2 linked regions of the Tamandua tetradactyla genome follow. The protein of the gene in region 2 interacts with the protein of the main gene of each other region in a biochemical or structural test. Links are inferred from orthologs where the notes say so. Each region holds a gene or a part of one and is shown on either strand. Other genes may lie near its edges. The genes, in order: SARNP and DDX39A.

Evidence for each region.
Region 1: the proteins of DDX39A (region 2) and SARNP form a complex in vitro, tested with the Homo sapiens proteins (2 studies listed by BioGRID). The link is inferred for Tamandua tetradactyla from reciprocal best matches to the Homo sapiens genes DDX39A and SARNP.

The regions. Positions count from the first base shown.
Region 1 is NC_135333.1:122,802,387-122,809,673, forward strand, and holds the start of SARNP (SAP domain-containing ribonucleoprotein), read right to left. Parts: upstream 3,181-7,287; 5' UTR 2,977-3,180; coding exon 2,941-2,976; intron 1-2,940. Other genes in the region: ORMDL2 (ORM1-like protein 2), read left to right, coding at 3,239-3,372, 4,472-4,646, 4,841-4,992, 5,585-5,720. UniProt on the Homo sapiens protein: Binds both single-stranded and double-stranded DNA with higher affinity for the single-stranded form. Specifically binds to scaffold/matrix attachment region DNA. Also binds single-stranded RNA. Enhances RNA unwinding activity of DDX39A.
Region 2 is NC_135337.1:88,527,982-88,536,024, reverse strand, and holds the start of DDX39A (ATP-dependent RNA helicase DDX39A), read right to left. Parts: upstream 3,170-8,043; 5' UTR 3,038-3,169; exon of another isoform or gene 2,913-3,037; intron 2,851-2,912; exon of another isoform or gene 2,693-2,850; intron 2,026-2,692; exon of another isoform or gene 1,968-2,025; intron 1-1,967. UniProt on the Homo sapiens protein: Helicase that plays an essential role in mRNA export and is involved in multiple steps in RNA metabolism including alternative splicing. Regulates nuclear mRNA export to the cytoplasm through association with ECD.

The sequences.
Region 1 (7,287 bases), on a different chromosome or scaffold from region 2:
CTCTGAGTTTGGGTTATCTCATCTTAAAAAGTATAATAGGGGCGGGCCGCGGTGGCTCAGCGGGCAAAGTGCTTGCCTGCTATGCCGGAGGACCTCGGTTCGATTCCCGGCCCCAGCCCATGTAACAAAAACGGAGAAACAGAATACAATAAAACAAGAAAATGTTTCCCTTTCTTCCTTCCTTCCTTCCTTCTCTCTGTCTTTCCTTTAAAAAAAAAAAAAAAAAAAAGTATAATAGTGACGTTTATCTTTTAAGGCTATTGTGAGAACTCAACCAATCAATTATCATATGTAAACAGCTTCCATCAATACTGTTAATGAACACAGATATTATGAGGAAACAAATATGGCCAATGTGGTTGGGCTGTGAGAAACGAAGCTGGAGAGACCAATAGGGATATCATAAAAAGTTTTATGCAGAGTAGTGACTATTATACTAAACATCTAACTGATGAAATCGCTCCCCCTGCAGACTCCATTCTCCATACTACCAACAGAAAATAAACTGGTCACATCAGGCTCTTCCTTTCAAATTTCCAAAGACTAGCCCCTTCTGCCTACACGACAAAAGCCATATGCCCTACACGACTTGGTAAGACCCTTTATAGTATCACTTACTCAACCTTTATAGGCACATAGTTCACCTACTTTTCCTTCCAACCTCTAACCACTCATAATGGGTACATTATGCTTCAATGATACAAATGACTCACTGTTTTCCCCTCTGTAAGAACCCTTTTTTCCACATTTGACTGGAAATCTGGTACTGTTACAGTTTAAAAGACATTTTCATCCACAATTCTTTCTCTTTCTAGTTGTGTTAAAATGACCACATTTCTGTAAAATCTTCAGACTTCAGAAGTCAGCAGTCAATATGGACTTTCACATCAATTCGAACAGATAATATATATTTTTTCTTTCTGTTTCAAAGTTTCTTCCCTTCCTTTGAGGTCCCATGCTAAAGTCCCTTATAAAAATGGAGACTTTCTTTAAAAAGAGAAAACCTGAAGTCAAAGCAAAAGTCAGGATTATTCCATCAAAATTACCAGAAAAACCACACATTAACTAACCTGGAAGTCAGAATTAAAGGTATGGGTTCTTAACCAGAGGTCCATGGACTCCTTAGGGCTACAAAGTAGTTTTATGAAGCCCCTCAATTGCATGCAAAATACGTGTACATGCCTTTTTCTGGGGAAAGGGTCCATACCTTTCATCAGAGTTTCAAAGATATCTGTGACCTCCAAAAGGTTAAGAAGTGCTCTAGAGAAAAAGCAAAGACAAGCAAATGTGATTAAAAGAGTGAGTCCTTTTCAGGCTGTCGGGAGTGCCTCAAGTTCTCTTAAATTATAATGCCTGAAATCAGATGAGAGGACATTTTGTAAAAGTGACTTAACCAAACAAATGCAAATTTAATACAGATCTAACAGATTTGTCATCCATAAAAGCAAGTCACAGGGGAAGCTAGTAATTTACTCCAGGGATTTCAAAAATGGGATAAATAAGAAGAAAATACTAGATCTTCAATTCATATTTCCTTTTTAGCCCATTCATTCAAAAATTCTCTTTAATGTATATTTTATAACATACATAACAATACAGTAGTATCTATGTAATTTATATATGAATAAGTATACACATAATAGCAATGACTGCTCAATTTTTTTCTATTCATCATGATAAATATTAGAACACTGATATAATTTACATGTTTCAGTACCACCAACTTAACAGTAACTCCAGAACAACAAAAAAACTCACTATAAAATTTAGAATCCAAGGTTAAAAATACATCAGCTTTCAAAGAAAGGCTAACTAGTGTCAACTAACATGTGATTAAAGAAGTTCTCTCCCTATTCTTCTCCCCCTTAAACTACTGGTCATCAAGCTCTGAAGGATCAGTTTTCAGCTGTGGATTAAATCAGCCTGGTTTGTCCAAAAGACCCAAGATTAAGTGACCAAAACATGTGATGAGAAAACTATCTGTGAAGCCACAACCGGCCAACTAATAAAGCCACTCTCTTAATTCACCCTAAAAGAACCTACTTTTTCTTCCAGGTAAATGATAATCTAAGTGTGAAAAAGCTATCAAGATTCCCAAAAGACACATCTTGATACAGACACAGAACTTGACACAGAACTTGAAATAGGTTCTGTGATTCGAAGTGCCACCAAATAGTGACACCAAGAGATGCAGGATCTAACGGTGATATGAAATGAGACAAAAACAACCCCAGCCTTGGAGTTGTTTTTCTACAGGGCTGCTATTGTAAGTTCTCTCGGAGGAAGCATGTATGTGTATGCTGTCGGGGGGGTGGGGTGGGGGGTGGGAGGGTGTAAGTGAGACAACTCGAAAAACTTATAAATCTAAGGTGTCAGTGCACTGACTAACTCTTAAACCCTCCTGAAGCCCAAGCCTCAACCCGGAGGCCTAAGGCCTTAGGGTTCAAAGTTCACTCAAGGGGGCGTAAACCCACTAGAAAAAGGAGTGGAAGCATTTTCTGGATCACATTTGGGACTCAGAAATAAACAAAGGTGCCTAGCTAACAGGGAAATCTCAGCTATAGACAACAGACAGGGAAACATCAACCCAAGGAAGAAAAAGGGGTCCTGGTTCCGGCAAGAGGAGATGAGAAGAAAAACCCTGACGTAATGGGGCGCTGACAAGAGACGAGAAAGGGAGGTGATGGATGGTACAGCCAAGAAAGCCAGGGCGCCGAAATAACAGATAAAGATAACAGTAAAACCGCAAGGAGAAATGGGAAATTAGGGAAGGCGTAGCGGGGAAGAAGGGAAGCACAAAAGAAAAACCAGCTAACTACGGAACGAGCCGGAAAACGAAAAAGAAAAGACTGCAGAGAGAACGAGAAGAAGGCACAGCCCACCGTGCAAAACTCAGCTGCTAGAAATGTCCAACCCAACCATTGCCCCGCTTCGCAGTACCTTCAGCTTATGCAGCTCCACCGTCTCTGCCGCCATCTTGTTACCCCCTCCACTCGCTGCCTCCGCCTCCAGGAGCTCCCGCCTAGGCGCAGAACCATGACCGACCAATCGCTGTCACTCTTACTTCCACCCCACACCATCAGCTCTTCCCATTAGTTAATAGCTGACGTCGCTCTAGCTCCCTCCTCAACTATCCCCACCTCTCTCAAAAGGTGGGACTGGGAAAAGGACCGGTTCTGCACCCTCCAAATGACGGAAATGGCGACCAATTGTGTGTTCCATTGCACACCGCCAACCAATGGGTGGTGGCAGCGCTAATTCTGTTCCACCAATAAGAAGAATGCAAATAGGCGGAGGACTGCTGCTTCCTGGAGACCAGAGGTGTGGAAGCGAGCGCCGTGCACAGGCCGGACGGGCCACTGAAGCTGGCAGGTAGGCGTTATCGGGAGACTGGAAAGAGGGTACTGAGTAAAAATGGAGAGACAAAAGGAAAGTGGCGGAGGTGCTCTGAAGGGTTCCCTAAGGGGAATCGATTAATAATAGAGGGAAGCCAGGAAGAGCATGGGACGGGGTCAATATTAGGATTTAGGGAATTTTAGATAGAGGGGTGGCAGGCAAGGGCCACTTCCTAACCAGTCGTCAGCTTTACTTGCACTGTTTTAGAGCTGAGTTCAGAGGACCAGAACCGACCCTAGAGTAGGGGCTAGGGCTCCATGCCTCGAGGTATTGAACTTGGGTCCCTTTCTAGTCCTTTAGAAGCCCAGGGGGAAATTCCTGCAGCACCCCACGCTTGAGAGAAGGAATGAGGATGTTTGTTCCTTACGTGCAAAGGAAATGAGACAGGGTGGACAAGCCCCAGAGGAGAAGATGGGAACTAGGAGTAGCTTTACCTCCTCAGCCCTCCTTGATTGAATCCCAGGACCCTCTGGGAAATCTAGATTTGTAACTTCTCTTGATTTATTAACTTTTTCAGGATAATAAAGTGAGATACTCCTAAGTGTCTCCTTTTCCTTGAAGCAGGTACCCCAAGCCTAGGCATGATACTTCACATTAAGTTGAACTGTGAGAATCAGAAAAAATACAATAATATGTCTCTAAAATGTAGGGTGAGCTTCTTGCCTTTGAAAATTTTCCCCAAGACTATAGTTTTCCCTTTGTGCATGATTGGAAAGTTCTTTCATTCTCAGTGGAGTTCAGGGGGGTTTGGCTATTCAGGAAACAATTGGGAAACAAGCTCAAAGGAGCTTAGAGGAGGGCGGGCCGCGGTGGCTCAGCGGGCAAAGTGCTTGCCTGCTATGCCGGAGGACCTCGGTTCGATTCCCGGCCCTAGCCCATGTAACGAAAACGGAGAAACAAAATACAATAAAACAAGAAAATGTTTAAAAGATGTTTCCCTTTCTTCCTCTCTTCCTTCCTTCTATCCTTCCTTCCTTCTCTCTGTCTTTCCTTTAAAAAAAAAAAAAAAAAAAAAAAAAAAAGGAGCTTAGAGGAAATTGAACTATATTTCTGCCTGATTCTCCAACTGTAATAGGATGAATGTGGGGGTGGCACACAGTGAAGTAAATCCCAACACTCGAGTGATGAATAGCCGTGGCATCTGGCTGGCCTACATCATCTTGGTAGGACTGTTGCATGTAGTTCTACTCAGCATCCCCTTCTTCAGCATTCCTGTGGTCTGGACCCTGACCAATGTCATTCATAACTTGGTAAGCACTAAACCACACTCTTACACCCACCCCAAGCTTTCCCCAACAAAAATAAATCAATTAATAAATAATAAAATTCCCAATTATTTGGGGATTTTTGCCTTCCTTTAGGAATCAACCATTTACTACCTTAGCAGAATTCTTGAGTTGAAGGACTACTTTCTATTCCCCTCACCCTGTCCCTTCTCTCCTAGGCTATGTATGTCTTTCTACATACGGTGAAAGGTACACCCTTTGAGACCCCTGACCAAGGAAAGGCACGGCTCCTGACACACTGGGAGCAGATGGACTATGGGCTCCAGTTTACCTCTTCCCGCAAGTTCCTTAGCATCTCTCCTATTATACTGTGAGTTTGGAAAGGAGGGGTAATGGGCAATGCTGAATTGGAAAGCACTTTAAAAAGCCAGCTACAAAAACCCACAGGGAGGCATTAAAGCAGACTACCTATCTGAAATATCATGGTATACTAGTTACTAGGGAAAGAAGTAAAAAGTAGAAGCTAGTAATTAAGCATTCCTTGCTGCCTCCCTTGATGATAGGAGAATGGAAAGGGACTGAAAAATGATGAAACACCAAATAAAATCAAATGACTTTACACTTCCAAACAGAAGTGAATAGAGACAGGACTGATGTGAATCTATGAAAACTGTGGGGACTGGAAACAAATTAAGACTCTTAACATTCATATAGGCTGAAAAAGCTTCAGCTGTCATTTGCCACCTGTCATTAACAATGAAGAAACACATAATCTGATTTATAATCTCCAGTTAAAGGTGCTATCTTAAGATCTCTCCAACCCCAAAATAAATAGTGTTGCTATGGCTGTAATGTTTTCAGATGTCCTAAGACTATATGCAGTAGAACTGGTAATTTAAAATATAAAAGGAAAGTCACTGAAAAGACATTAATATGAATTCATTCTTTTTCTTCTCTCCCAGCTACCTCCTGGCCAGCTTCTACACCAAGTATGATGCTGCTCACTTCTTCATCAACACAGCCTCGCTACTCAGTGTTCTGCTGCCAAAGTTGCCCCAATTCCACGGGGTTCGTCTCTTTGGGATCAACAAATATTGAGAGAGGGGACTGGGAACAGCTCTGTAGGCATGGAGAAGACATTGGAACAAGGGCTGTTAACATCCTTCCTCCTTCTTTATATTATCTTCATCTTGAAAGACTGAGAACTGTACAACCTTTCCCAAACTCCCAGGAAGAGAAGAGATTGGAAAATGGGGCTCCCTGGCCCAACCCTGCTAGGAGTAGGTTTCTTTGAATCAGCAAAGGCAGGTGAGACAAGGGCCAAATCTCCACAGCAGGAACCATGTATGTGCAGCTTATTTGGTGATTAAATTTTCCATATCTTCCACATACACACCCCTTTTCCAGCTCTGTTTTGCTGTGTATTTTACTTATAATAAAGATATTTTTTTTCAGATATGGCTACAATTGGTTGGCAGGAAAAGTAGGGAAAGAGAGAATGATGACTTACTATATTAACTTCTCTAAGACTACTTTTTATCCTCTCTCCCGTGGTTCAATAGGGGGTGCCCTTCACTCTCGGCTAACTATGGAAAGTACTCAAATGAGAAAAAGAACTACAGTTAAATGGACAAAGAAGAGAGGGAAAATACAGGTTGCCAGTTATATATTTATAGAAAGATAATCCCCTGGCTTTAAATAGATATGTACATACAAATATGAACAAACTTAAAAAATACAAACCCTAAGATCATAAGGGGGCTGCTGGGAACCCCCTTATTTTTCCCCCTCACCCAAGGGCAGAGGGGTATGAGTCTGCTTTTAAAAAATGATTAATTTTGGCCATCCCTGCAGCAACAGCAAGCCTGTAATTAGGTGATTATACACAAAGGTGAAAGTCAGTGGATGGAAGAACTCAGAGTTCTCTCTCTCTGAACTATACATCTCCTATAATTTGGGCTACATGCTTTCTTGTTCTGTCTTTTAACTAGTCTATAGGGATGAGGGTGGGGGAATTCACTCTTGAAATGGGTCAAGAAATAAGATAAACTCAGTTTAAAAAGAGAAAAAGAAAAAAAGTGTCATCTGCTCTAAAAGCAAAAGACAGGACAAAGGCATACAGACCCCAGGGAAATAACCAGTTCCCACACCACTATAGGATATATTGTCCAGTCAAGGTTGAGGCCCTAGGTTCTTTGCTTTTAGCCACCTCCTATTTCTTTGGTATTGCCAGAAGACAAGATTCAGTTCCTGGGTGTTGAGGGAAGAGAGCAAGTGGTTCAGGGACTTCCTACAAGTACTAAGTAAACAATTTGAGCTTAAACTTTTCCCTTTTTTAAATATTTAAAAATAAACAAATCAAACTCCATCCTGTGCTGTACACAGCCCTTTGACTCCCTGACACTGATTTGAGGAAAGAAGAGAAGGGGTGTCAGCGTTGGAAGGGCCTCCTCACTTTCTTCCGCCGCTTCGATTTCGCGTCTCCCTTAGGTACTGTGCTGTTAGGCTTGGAAGGAGCAGTGGCCCCAGGGCCAGGCTGAGATGCTGCAAAGAAGTTTCCATTGGACATTTGGCCTGGTGGTACTTGAAAGATCCGGTTCAAAAAATCCTGAAGGTCAGCAGGAGGGGCATATGGGGTGGCTCTAAAAGAGAAATAAGAAATAAT
Region 2 (8,043 bases):
CCCCCATGAGATGCCTCCCCTTTCACCTGGACTCCATACCTCCACCCATCACCCTAGTCCAAATATTTGGTGCTTTTCCCCACCAAATACAATCGGCCTGGTCACAGCCACCCAGCACTTCCAGCAGCTTCTCACTTTTCTCAGTGCAAAACCCCAATTCTTCAGCCCAGCCTTTACAACCCTCGCCCTGGCCCAGCTGACCTCCTCCCCTACCAATCCCCTTCAGACAGCCCCAGCCTCATTTTGCTTCTCAGACTCACCATCCCACCCACCCCCCACCAAGTCTGCCACTGCTGCTGCCTGGAATGCTGCTCCCAGGGCTTTGCAGGGAGGCCACATCCTCAGCTCCAATGCACTCAGGCTGCACCCAGCCATCGCTCCCCAAGCTCCCTGCTGGGCCTGCAGGACAGCCCAGCCCCTGGCCTTGTCACCCTCCCCAACTTCCTCCAGGCCCAATCCCAGCTCTTTAAGCACCGCTATGCTGATGCCTCCCAAAGGTCTGTCTCCAGCAACAACTTCCCACCTGAATGCCAGACACTACCCAGCTGCCTCCTCCAGGTCTCCCCTTGGAAGTTGAACTCAAAATGCTCCGAACAGAACTGTTTCTCCCTGAAGCCTGCTTCCCCCACCTCGTGAAGGACAACTCCATCCACTCCATAGTTCTGTCTCTCTCTCGCTTCCTCCCTGTCCAATCCACCAGAAAAGTCCTTCCCAGCCCCTTCTCACCCCTCCTACCACACTGACTTCAGCCAGCATCGCTACTCTCTCATAAAAAAAAATTTATTTAGAACAGTTTTATTGCTCACACGCCATATAACTCAGGGAAGGAGAGGGTGAACAACCCACAGATGAGCCATCCCGTTATATTTAAAGTATATAACGTAATTGTCTTTCGTATATTCAGAAACAAGTTTAGAATTTTAAAACATTTTCATCACCTAAAAAGAAAGCCTGTACTCTTTAGCCATCACTCCACTATACAGTGTACCCCATCTCAAACAACCAGTGATCGTTCTGTCTCTATGGATTTGCTTATTCTGGACACTGTGTATAAATGGAATCATACAATAGGTGATCTTTTGTGACTGTGCTCTTTCACTCAGCATCATGTCTTCCAAGTTCATCTATGTTGTGGCACACATCAGAACTTCATGCATTTTTATGGTTGAATAATACTCTGTTGTCTGGATGGACCACAGTTTATCCATTTGTCAGTGACAGACACTCGGATAGTGTGGCCTGGTTTATGCCAGTAGCTTCCATACAACCTCCCTGCTTTCTTTCTCACCCCTTCAACTGACTCCCCCACAGCAGCAAAGCAAGCCTTTTAAAACCTGAGCCGGGTCATATCACTCCTATCTTCAAAATCCTCCACTGGCTCCCATCATGCCTTCTTCTCCTACACAGATGAGCCGACTCTCAATGCTCAGACCTCATCTCCCCCATGCCCCTCATTCCCTGGCCTCAATGCTGTGCCTCAAGTATGCCTCAGTGCCTCTGCTGCTCCTACTGCTGGGAACTCTCCACCCACAAATTCACAGATCTTTCCCAGTTTATTCAAGCCTCCACTTAAATTATGTCACTTCAAAAGGGCCTTCCCTGACAGTCCCAACTGAAAGGACCCCTGCCAGTCACACCAGCCTAACACCTTACACATTTGTCATTCTCATCCAACTAGCTGGTCTGTTGACTGTTGCATCTCCAGTGCCTGGTACACATAGCCTACCCTACCCAGGCACTCACTAAACAATGGCACGATTATGAGCTAAAACAACTATATCTCCTCTTCTGATTTTTTGAAGAGGCAGCATCAAGGCTGGATGGCATCCTCTCTCAGGTAGCAGGAGAAAGAACAGGAGCCAAGAAAGGTGAGTCTAAAAAGCATCAGAACTTTTTGGGGAACGCAGAGTAGGACAATACAAGACAAAGCTGGAGATGCTCATCTGGCCCAGGTTATTTGTACTTACCACTGATCAGGTTTTGGAATCGAGTGACTCAACCAGGATTTCCCAAGAGTAATTTAATCTGAAAGTGAGGACGAGACCAAGAGCAGGGAAAACCGGTCATGGAAATGAAAGAGAATTAACCAGGGTCGGGACACTGAGTAGGGAAGGAGAAGGTGAACAACCCACAGATGAGCCATCCCCTGGATGACCCAAAGAAACATAAGACCCAGAATCATCTACCCTGGGCTTTGAACTCTGGTGACCAGGAGGCAACAGCGTATTTAAAAGAAATAGGGAAGCCAAACGGAAGTTGTTTATTTTGGTTTTGGTGGGGGGGTGAATTTGCATGGGGACAGACGAGTGAAGCACAAACATTTTCAGGGGGTGGCTAGACAGGGATCTCAAGCTCAAAACAAAATAGATCAGGAGAGAAAACACGGCGGGGTTGTGTCCCGCCCAGAGGGAATGATGCGGAGACTGAGTCCCGAGGGGATGAATTTAAAGGCTGACGCGGGGATGAAAAGACAACCCAGACACGTCGCTAAGTGCTACGGGGGGCTTCCTTTCCCACTGGGGACTTCTATTTCCAAAAGAACGTCTTTTCTGCTCCGAAGGTCGAAAACCTCGAATCGCCCCCAGCCCCACTCCCCACAAGGTAGGGCAGAAACAGAATGGGGGTCGTGGGAAGGGGGAGTCCTTCGGACTCGGAGAAGCCCGTCCCATCTCGAAGCTTCGGCTTCTCTTACCGCTGCCCCACCTCCCGGACCTCCCGCCCAGAGGCACCGTGAAGTCTGTGAAAGAAGGTAAGCTCGTTCTCACGGACTGAGCTAAACTGGGGCTGCCCGTGGCGGCCATGGCAGCCGTTCCCGGAAGCAGCCCCTCGCGCCAACGGCCGGCCCGCCCCCTCGCGCATGCGCCCCTGCGCCCAACGGCTGCGGCGCGCGCGCACCTCAGCCGCCCCGCCCCCACACCCCGGCTTCGCGCCCCTTCCTCCTCCTCCTCCCCTCAACCCCCGGCGTCTCCCCTAGCCCGCTCGTTCGCAAGTCCCGGGCCACCGGACGGCCACCCCAGGCCCCAGCTCCGCCGCTCACCTAGTGCTTTGTTCGCCTTCGCGTGCTGGGAGAAGAACTGACCGACTCTGCTTATCAACCGCGCGCCCCGACGCGAACCTCGGCGCTTCCTGCCTTCCTGCGGCCGACTACAGCCCACTCACTGGACCGCTGCCTTTTCATTCAAAGGGAGCCGGGGGCGGCGATTGGGCCATCCGGAGACCTCTGAAGGCGATTGGTGAAGAGCGGTAAGAGGGCGTGCCCCACTCCTCACGTTCATTGGCCAATCTAAAGGTAGCCCGCCCGAACGGACTGGTGGGGGTGGGAGCCGGCTCGCGCGCCGTCACGTGACCGGACGTCCGCCCTCGGTGTGAGCAGCCATGCTTAGTACTGGCGGGCGAAGCCGGGGGTGCTTGACCTGTGGCGGGGGCCCTACCCTTAGGAAACGTGGCGTCTGCGCTGGGCGCGGAACCTTCTCAAGTGTTCATCACGAAGTGGACATCAGTCTGCGGCTTCGTGGTCCTCCACGGCAGCCTCTTTGAAAGGGCTCTGAGGAGGGCTGAGAGTAAGGGGTTCCTCAGGTCGTTAGGGTTTGAGAAATGGTTGTACGCAGCGGTTCCCATTTGTCCAGAGCAATGACCTGGGTCGGACACTGCCAGGCCATGGCAAGTGTAGGCCACAAGACACAGCTTTTTTTTTTTAGGTCTTGAAACTCTGTGTTAATTTTACTTTTTCCTAGTATTAATTTCCCCCACCCGTTTATCTTTTTTTACCAGTAAGCTGCTGAAGTACAACTTAGAGTGAAAGGAACAGATCAGTGAATTTTGATCGATGCACCGAGTGACAACTACTTCGTTGAAAATGCAGAGCAGTTTCCATCACCCCAGAAAGTTCTCTTGTGCCCCTTTCAAGTCAACCTCACCCCCATCCCCCTCCAGGCAACCACTATCCACGTGTCTGTCACCACAGATTAGTTTTGGCTGTTCTTGTTTCATATAAATGGAATCATACAGTGGGTTGTCTTTTGTGTCTGGCTTCTTTTGCTCAGCCTAATGCCTCTGCGATCCATCCTTGTTGCTGGGTCTATCCGTGGTTGGTTGTTTTTGATTGCTGAGTAGTATTCCACTGTGGCTATACTGTAGTATAGGCAATATAGTCTCTTTATTCACCTGTCAAGGGATATTTGTTTGTTTCCCAGCATTTGGTCATCATTTAAAAAGCAGCTAAAACCACCCTGGTACAAGCTGCTTTGAGAGCATAGGTTTTTCATTTTCTGGAGCAGACACTGAAGAGCAGAATGGTGGGCCATTCACACATGGGTGTGTATGGCTTCAGCTTTAATAGATACTGACCATTTCCAAGGTGTTTTTTCCATTCTGCACTCCCACTAGCAACTGTGGAAGTTCCGTTTGCTCCCACACCTGGTATTGTTGGTCTTTTCCCTGATTTGGGGGTGAGGGAGTGAGTATATGCGATAAACCGGCTCCAGTATTCCCATCTCCCTAAGCCCGGAGCACTTTCCTCCATAACCTTCTGGAGAAGTTCTAGCATGTCAGTTTCATTTAGTGTAGGCTGCCTTTGGGTCTAGATTTCAGACTACAAAGTCTGAGAGTTGATATAGGTCAAAAAGCCCAAAGAAGAGGAACCAGTCAATCCAAGCCAACTGGTGGAAAGATTTGAATGATATGAACGTGTCATTTTATGTCTTAATTACTCCATGCACTTGTATAGCACTTGTTATGTGCCCAGCAGGGCCAGGACAGAAGTGAGCCAAGCGAGGCATTCACCCAGGAGCAAAATTTAAGAGGGTGCCAAAACCTCAGCAATCAAGATAAATCTATTTTTTTTAATTTTTTATAGAGAAATGTCCATACACATACAGTCCAACTGTATTACACAATCAGTGACTCAGCATATCATCACATAGTTGTGTATTCTTCATCATGATCATATTTAGAACATTTGCATCACTCCAGAAGAAATAAAAAGAAAAAAAAACCTCATACATCCCATACCCCTTACCCCTCCCTCTCATTGACCCACAGTATTTCAATGTACACAGTTTTTACTCTTTATCTCCCCCTAGTATTTATTTATTATCTTTTTTTTTTTTTACTCATCTGTCCATATCTTGGATTAAACAAGCATCAGAAACAAGGTTTTCACAATCACACGGTCACATTGTAAAAGACTGTAAAATAGTTATACAGTCTTCTTCAAGAATCAAGGCTACTAGAACATAGTTCAGCAGTTTCAGACACTTCCCTTTAGCCACTCCAATACACCATAAACTAAAAAGGGATATCTATATAATGTATAAGAATAACCTCCAGGATAACTTCTCAACTCTCTTTGAAATCTCTCAGCCACTGAGACTTTATTTTGTCTCATTTCTCTCTTCTCCCTTTTGGTCAAGAAGGCTCTCTCAATCCCATGATGCCGGGTTCTGGCTAATCCTGGGAGTCCTGTCTCACGTTGCCAGGGAAATTTACACCTCTCAGGGTCATGACCCATGTAGGGGGGATGGGCAGTGAGTTCATCTGCTAACATGGCTTATAGCGAGAGAGGCCATGTCTGAGCCACAAAAGAGGCTCTTTTAGGCATAATTATCAGTAGGCTTAGCCTCTCCTTTGTAGGAATAAGCTTCATAGGGGTGAGCCCCAAGATTGGGGGCTCAGCCGATTAAATTGGTTGTCCACACTGCTTGTGAGAAAATCAGGAATTCCCCAGATGGGAAAGTTTAATATTTCCTCCTTTCTCCCTAGTCCCCAAGGAGACTTTGCAAATACTTTTTTATTCCATGCCCACATTACTCTGGCATGTATTAGGGAATCACACTAACCTGTATACAATAAGATCTCATACCCTATTCAAGATTCCATGTAATTACGGTGTGTGCTGGTTTGAAAGGATGTATGTCCCTTAGAAAAGCCATGTTTTAATCTAATCCCATTTCATAAAAGCAAAAGAATAATCCCTATTCAATATTGTATGTTTGAAACTGTAATCAGATCATCTCCCTGGAGATGTGATTTAATCGAGAGTGGTTGTTAAGCTAGATTAGGTGATGACATGTCTCCACCCATTTGGGTGGGTCTTGATTAGTTTACTGGAAACTGTTTTTTTTTTAGCTAATAATGTATTTATTGCAAATTCATCCAACAAAATCAAATAGTATTTTTAATATTACATCTGTTTTTTTATTATTAATTTTAAATTAAAAGAAAATTACAAGAAAGAAACACAAACATTTTTTAAACTTTTTTTATTAATTAAAAAAATTAACAAACAAAACATTTAGATATTCCATTCTACATATACAATCAGTAATTCTTAATATCATCACATAGTTGCATATGCATCATTTCTTAGTACATTTGCATCGATTTAAAAAAAGAAATAAAAAGACAACAGAAAAAGAAATAAAATGATAATAGAGAAAAAAAAGACTATACATACCATACCCCTTACCCCTCGCTTTCATTTACCACTAGCATTTCAAACTGAATTTATTTTAACATTTGTTCCCCCTATTATTTATTTTTATTCCATATGTTCTACTCTTCTGTTGATATAGTAGCTAAAAGGAGCATCAGACATAAGGTTTTCACATTCACAGAGTCTCATTGTGAAAGCTGTATCACTGTTCAATCATCATCAAGAAACATGGCTACTGGAACACAGCTCTACATTTTCAGGCAGTTCCCTCCAGCCTCCCCACTACGTCTTGAACAACAAGGTGATATCTACTTAATGCATAAGAATAACCTCCAGGATAACCTCTCGACTCTGTTTGGAATCTCTCAGCCATTGACACTTAGTCTCATTTTACTCGTCCCCCTTTTGGTCGAGAAGGTTTTCTCAATTCCTTGATGTTAATTCTCAGTTCATTCTAGGGTTTTTCTCAGTTCCTTGATGCTGAGTCTCCGCTCATTCCAGGATCTCTGTCCCACATTGCCAGGAAGGTCCACACCCCTGGGAGTCATGTCCCACGCAGAGAGGGGGTGGGTGGTGAGACTGCTCGCCGTGTTGGCTGGAGAAAGAGGCCACATCTGAGCAACAAAAGAGGCTCTCTTGGGGGTGACTCTTAGGCCTAAATTTTAAGTAGACTTGACCTATCCTTTGTGGGGTTAAGTTTCATATGAACAAACCGCAAGGTTGGGGGCTCAGCCTATAGCTTTGGTTGTCCACACTGCTTGTGAGAATATCAAGAATTCAACTTGAGGAACTTGAATTTCTCCCCATTCTCACCATTCCCTGAAGGGGGCTTTGCAAATAGTTTTCCACTCACTGATCAAATCACTCTGGGATTCATCGGGGCATCACTCTGGGCAAACCAACAAAATCTCATGTCCTACCGGAGATTCCAAGTACTTATGACATTCAATCAAACTATCTACATGAGTTATATTAGGAAATGCTCTAGTCAAAATCTAAATTTTGTAACAAATAAACATTTTTTGCTTTAGTCTCACACATAAGGTGACATTTTAAAGTATTAATTACCATCTATTTTTCAGCACCCTGCAATAATGACATTCCTTTGTTCTTCCTCATGCAAAAACATTTTTAAAATTTGACATTGTACATTTCACTATTATTATACACTCTAGGCATTCCTAGATTATACCATCTCGATCTTTAACATCTATCTTTCTTTCTGATTTCATTTATGTCCCCAGCCCTCTTCCCTCTATCATTCTTACATGCAACTTCATTCAGTGTTTTAACATAAATTATATTATAGTTAGGTAGTATTGTGCTGTCCATTTCTGAGTTTTTGTATCCGGTCCTGTTGCACAGTCTGTATCCCTTCAGCTCCAATTACCCAATATCTTACCCTGTTTCTAACTCCTGATGGTCTTGAAACACAAACATTCTTAACATATGCTCGTTCCGTTCTACATGTATAATCAGTTTACTGGAATATTATAAAACAGGAAACATTTTGGAGAATGGAAGATTCGGAGAGAGCAGAGAATGCTGCAGCACCATGAAGCAGAGAGTCCACAGCCAGTGACTTTTGGAGATGAAGAAGGAAACGCCTT